Tribolium castaneum: one gene and its partner. The protein of the gene in region 1 interacts with the protein of each later gene in a pairwise test. Links are inferred from orthologs where the notes say so. Each region holds a gene or a part of one and is shown in the gene's direction. Other genes may lie near its edges. The genes, in order: Sld5 and DNA replication complex GINS protein PSF1.

The links.
Region 2: the proteins of Sld5 (region 1) and DNA replication complex GINS protein PSF1 interact in a two-hybrid assay, tested with the Drosophila melanogaster proteins (2 studies listed by BioGRID). The link is inferred for Tribolium castaneum from reciprocal best matches to the Drosophila melanogaster genes Sld5 and Psf1.

Annotation. Positions count from the first base shown.
Region 1 is NC_087398.1:5,431,448-5,434,509, forward strand, and holds Sld5 (DNA replication complex GINS protein SLD5), read left to right. Parts: upstream 1-1,633; 5' UTR 1,634-1,705; coding exon 1,706-2,117; intron 2,118-2,201; coding exon 2,202-2,455; 3' UTR 2,456-2,522; downstream 2,523-3,062. Other genes in the region: ATP-binding cassette sub-family C member 4, read right to left, coding at 2,593-3,060.
Region 2 is NC_087400.1:16,460,391-16,463,593, reverse strand, and holds DNA replication complex GINS protein PSF1, read left to right. Parts: upstream 1-1,660; 5' UTR 1,661-1,753; coding exon 1,754-1,825; intron 1,826-1,876; coding exon 1,877-1,941; intron 1,942-1,995; coding exon 1,996-2,449; 3' UTR 2,450-2,599; downstream 2,600-3,203. Other genes in the region: PWWP domain-containing protein 2A, read left to right, coding at 1-183.

The DNA of each region.
Region 1 (3,062 bases):
CAGACTGGTGTTCCACCATCAAAGCAAGTTTCTTTTAGATGACTCCCCCACGTCAGAATCGAAGAAGAAGATATCCCATCCCTACCTTATTGTTGATAACTTTCTTTCTCTTTCCCCTTGGTGAATTATGTTTGTTTTGTCGACGCCGAGATGTAGGCACCGATCTGGACACTCACTTTTTTAAATATCTGCACAAATGTGACGAAATTCACTTTTTAACTGAAAATTCCATCTATGATGCGTGATGCAACAAGTGAAGAAATTTTAAAGAAAACAACGTTTTGGATCTATTTATCTAAGGCAACAAGGGACAGCGTCGCAAATTAGCAATTTCGAAATTGATCGATTAGCAAACGTTCGATAATAAACCATCAATTATGAAAGGAAAAAATTAATTATTATTATTTAAGAAACTGTTAAACTAACTGTAGTATCGAGGGTGAAGCAATGGATAGTGAGAGTTTGTCGAAGAAAAAAAAGTTCATCGACTGATGTGATGGTTCATGAGGTCATCAATTTGCTCCTTTTTATGGCTTCTGCCAGTTTTGTCATTGCTTCTTTGGACAACATAAATTTCAAAACCGACAAATTGCCTCGGGAAATGTAATAAAAATGAGAAGATCGTGGTACAGATTGAAAGAATTACAATTGTTACATAAATCAGTGTTAAGTACGATCAATTATCTTGTTGCATTATAGAGTCCCCCTGCTGCGAGCAATTGTTGACTTGCCTTAAGTGGATCTTTTATTGATCGATCTGAGCAAATATTTGCTTAATTTTCCAGACAATAATCTTAACACCGTTCACTTTCAAGTGTTATGATTATAAGATGAATCTCATGTAGGATGACAACAAACAGATGGCTACCAGACACGTAATGACTTATTTATTCTGAAAGTACCAGAGATAAATCGAATGGAAACCGGAATGAAGAAAACTGCTAAGGAAAATTTGTTATTTAATGGAAAAAACTTCCTCATACTAAAAATTATTGGCACGATTGCCTAGAATTGGTACGAATTTCTTACATAAAGTGACGAAATTTGTGTAATTTATCTAACTTAAATGCCATCAGTATTTAAAAGACGTACAAACGTTACGCTCCAGCAATTTAATTGAAGATTTGCAAGCAACCATTTCAGTTATTCACCTACTTAATTTTCATTAACAAGTTTTTGCGGAAAAAATATTCGAGAAGTTCTCCACAAGGATCGCGAAGATTGTGCAACGCCCCTGAGAAAGTCTATATCTTTAAAATTTATTAGATACGCGAATGGTAATATCTGTTTATTTGTAATTTACATACAATCGACCGGAACAATTTGTTTTGTGATTTTTTATGCAATTGATGGGAGTATGGATGTGGTTTCACGCTCATTAAAAATACTCATTAAAAGCGCTAAAAGTTAACAATTAAATGTGACATCTGAACAAATGGCGATGGCCTACATTGTTTGAATTTACTACAAGGACGAACCTTAGTTCTTAAAAATAACCACGCCAGTGGAATTTTTCAAAAGACAAGTCGATAAATTCGGAAACGCAAAATAATGGTGGAGAATACATTATTTGGTGCCCCTTAGCTAGATAACCAATAATACTACGTGTTAAAGTGGGTTTTGGTGTTTCACGGTTGGCAATTGAGCACGTTTTCCCGCGCTTCAGCTGATTAGTGTTCACAGTTGTGTTTTGTGTTATTTTGTAATGGATTTGGAATTGGAAGATTTAGAAAACACGATTCAGGACGACGACGATGACAACGTGCAATTAACTTCAGCCGAGTTAATCGAAATGATGGAGGAAGTGTGGGTTAATGAGAAATTCGCACCTGAGATCCTCCCTCATAAACAAGAAGTTGTCGATTGCGTGCTGGGACAAATATCATACATGGAAAAAAATTTAGAGACTTTACCATCCACCGACTTTAAAAAAGGAATTCATCAATTGGAAGTCGATAGGATTCGTTTTTTGGTGGCGAGTTACCTTCGTCACAGATTGGAAAAAATCGAAACTTATGTTTTGCATATTTTAAAAGAAGAGGAACAGAGGGGCGAGAGAGAAGAAGAGTTGTATTTAACGGAAGCCGAACAACAATTTGCGATTAAATACAAACAAGGTTTTATATTTTGTTTTTTTTTTCTATTTTATTTTTTTAGTTACTGTTTTTGTTTTGTTTTCTTATTTTTTTTTGTTTTTATAGACTTAGAACAGCATTTCGAAAATGCGACTAATTTTTACCCGGGCTTGCCATTCGAAGACTGGAAAAGTCACATAGTTGCGCCAAATATGAACAGTTTTGTGTTTTTGAAAGCTAAAACTGCCGTAGAAGGGGTTGTTATAGACCCAAGCCGTGACGATGATGAAGTCGCTGATTTAACTGTGGGTTCGCAAATGATACTGTCATATAACAGCGTGACTGATTTGGTGAAAAAAGGAGACGTCCAATTGATATAAAATATATGTAATATATTTGATAAAAATCAACAAAAAACTCAAAATAAATACACTGTTAGAATCTCAATGTTAAGTAACATTCTTTAAGTAGTTTAAAGCGTCTCAATTATTTATTAAGTTTTAAAAAAATAAATCTTCTATTCTTCCTTATTATCATTTTGTTCATCACTGGTACTTATTGGTCCGAATTTGTTCTCGTAGTCATTTTTTGCAACTTCTTTCAGCTGGGTCTCTAAATTTTTCCCCGTTTCGCGAAGCATGCGACTAAAACGACCTTCCTGATTTTGTAAAAGCCGGTGTGGGTGGTCAAACTCCACCGCTTCTCCTGCATCCATCACCAAAACCTTGTCCGAGTCCATTATAGTATTCAATCGATGTGCTATAGTTAGGACTGTACACTCTTTGAAATTTTTACGTATACTGGTTTGGATCAGAGCATCAGTTGCCGGATCAACATTAGCGGTTGCTTCATCCAGAACCAGCACTTTGTTATTCCTGACTATAGCTCTGGCAAGACAGACAAGCTGGCGTTGGCCGGCACTAAAATTGGAACCTCCCTCGCTCACTCTTTGGTCTAAGCTGTCTATGGCATTTTTGAGTTCGACCT
Region 2 (3,203 bases), on another chromosome or scaffold:
CGTTACAATAAGAAAAAAAGGGGGCCATACAAAGAAGCCATCAAGCAGGCGACGCTGGAAGCGAAGGAAAACGCCGAAATAAAGATGCGCCAACCTTTAGGAAACTCACCTTCCCATAATATCATCCAACAGGTGGTGCCACCTGCTTTGGCGTCGCCTAGAGAAATTGATGTTGTATCATAATGAAGCATTTTTCTCCTCCTTGTTTGGTGGAACATACAGGTTTTGTTGTAGCGTGTTTAAATCACGCTCATCACCCTGTATATACTAAATGTGTTAATAGCTACTACTGCGCATTGATGTATTCTTTTTTATAAAGTACTTTATATTTATACAGAAATATTTGTATGCAGCAGGCGTAACATGTTTCTTATTTTAATTCCTGATATTGTATCATCTCTTGTAAAGAATATTTTTTGTGATAACTTTGGATGATTGTTTTCATATTGAAGTGTTTTATTCAAGATTTTTATAGGGTTAAGTCATAGTTACTACTATCTGTTAAACAATAATCAATATATCTGTGATTTTATTCCTTTAGAAACATGTAAGTAGTAAAATTAAATTAATAAAGTCATTTGGTACTAAGGCCTATTTTTTCAACTACAATTTTCAGTTGACAAGACTGCATTGTGCAAGACCCGTCATGAAATATTACCATCGAACTAAAAAAATTAACAAAATTTTCCAAAAGTGATAAAAAAAATATTTAGTTGTCCCATTTCATTTCTTAATAGCATAATTTTTGGAACAATTTGCCCCAAAAATAAAATTAAAAATGTCTATTTAGTTAAGTATTCATTGTTATTATTAGATATTATAATATTACTCTTATACTTGGTTGCTAAAAAGTATGGATACAGTTAAATATTAAATAATAATTAATTGAAATCTTGTATTTGCTTAAAAGTACTGTTTAAATTCTATCGTTTTAGATGTCTATAAAATTTTCATTTACATTAATTTTGTTTCTGGGGATACAAGGCTAACTTTTTTTACACAGCAAGAAGGGTCAAATTTATTTTTTTAGTTCTTGATGTAACACATGCTTATCTCATTAAAAAAATATCTAACTAATAAAATTTTCTCTGCTTTGGAAATGTTGTCTTTATCTAACGTTAGCTCGTTTCCGCCTGAACTTTGACCAAAAAATAAGTTAAAGTTAATAATGGTTATTAAATAACACTTTTGTCTGTAAAAGAACACATTTTAATAAAAAAATTAGCTGTAGCCATACTTATTAGCCACTTTGTAAGAGCATTGACTGTCCATCTAGATTGCTTCTTCGTTAATTTATTATACGAATATTTTGCCATCAATTGTTTAATTATCTTCAAAAAATGTTTTTTGTAGTTACGACTTTTTTGCTTCGAAACTTCAAGAAAATTTGTATTTCAATTGTCGTATATTGAAAAACAGCACTCTAAAAAGATATGCATAAAATAACGTGCCAATATCATTTTTGCAAATAAATCGTTTATTAAAGTTCAAAATTTCATACTTCAATTATATGAAATAAAGATACCATAGAAAATTTAAGAAACATGAAATAACTCAAAAAATACGTAAAAGTAGTGACGAAATTTTTGCGTAGTAGGGCAGCATAACTTACCGTAGATGTGACATCACACAAGGATACGCGTGATTCGTGTAAACCCGCCTTTAGTTGTGGCCTGTCATTATAAATGCACCTTTACTGTCATTTGGCGGGCTTTTAGGTTAGAAAACTATTTAGACAAAATTTTAAATCGAAATGTTTTGTGAGAAAGCCCACGTTTTGATCAAAGAATTATCTCGAAACCGGGACGCTTTACCGCCTTACAACGTAAAAATTACCAAATTGTTCCTCACTCAATATTTTACAATTTTTTTTCAGACTGATCTTCTCAATGAAATCAACACTGAAGTCAAGCAACTCATTACTCAAAACCAAGAAGATGCGTAAGTTTACACACTTGATCCTCGAAACCAATACTTCAGCGTTTTTTTTTTCAGTCAAATTTCTGAAGATAGTCGGGTTATGAATCACGCCTCTTATTTACCTACAGTCAAAATACGGCATGCGGCTATCAAACGGAACATTCGATGCATTCTGGCTTATCACTACAATCGGTTAAAATGTCTCAGAAACATGCGCTGGCAATTCGGCAGTATTTTACCGCCAGATGTTAAATCGAATTTAAGTCAATCGGAAATTGAATGGTTTTCGAAATATTCCAGCAATTTAGTACAATATATGCGATCAATTGGTGATGAAGGGATTAATTTAGCTGTGGATTTAAAACCGCCAAAGTCTTTGTATATTGAGGTCAGGTGTCTAACGGATTATGGACAGTTTGAATTGAACGATGGTTCGGTGTTGTTATTGAAGGAAAACAGTCGTCATTACTTACCGAGAAGCGAATGCGAGGAATTAATACGACAAGGGGTCCTTGAACACGTTGTTTGAATTTGGCGCCTTTTTTTTAAACATCAAATGTCCTTGAAAATATTTAAATTACCTTATTTTTGTACGTGGTGATTCAATACTAAATAATTAGTTGTAACATAATCTTAAATTAATCTTATTTCGTAAAATAAAAGCGTCCAGTGTCGCCAACTCTGATTAAATTCCATGTTTTAGTGTTTGTAAGTAAATTGATACCTGAGTTATACACGGTGATTCTGTTAGGGCCTACATTAGTAACTTTTAACTTGTAATATAGCTAGAGCTTTAAAATTTTGTACACGATCTAAATCGACTATTCTGAATTCAACTTATTTTTTTTCAAAATGGCTGAGCTTTCGGAACTACAAAAAATTGGCGCCAAGTTTGAAGTTAAATCACTACTTCGCAGTTTTCATAGTTAATCAAGTAGAACTTGCAAAATGGTCAACAATTGTCAAACTTATTTAATTTTTAGCTGGTTCATTATCAAATAAGCAGTAAAACAATAATATTTAATTATGTTTCATTATAATTTTGTGAATTATGTAAAGTAAGGCAGTTTTACGGTTGACAATACAGAAGATTTTAGAAGATCTTTCAAACCTTTGGCTATCAAATGCAAAAAGAATTATTCACTTATTATAAAGGGTTCACGAGCTGTGATATTTCAAATGAACCCCTGCAAATCAAAATTTATATAAAAAAAATTGACATATGATAATTTCTCGTAGTTCCGGAAAATCAGCCAGTTTAAAAATACTAATTTAGTTGAACT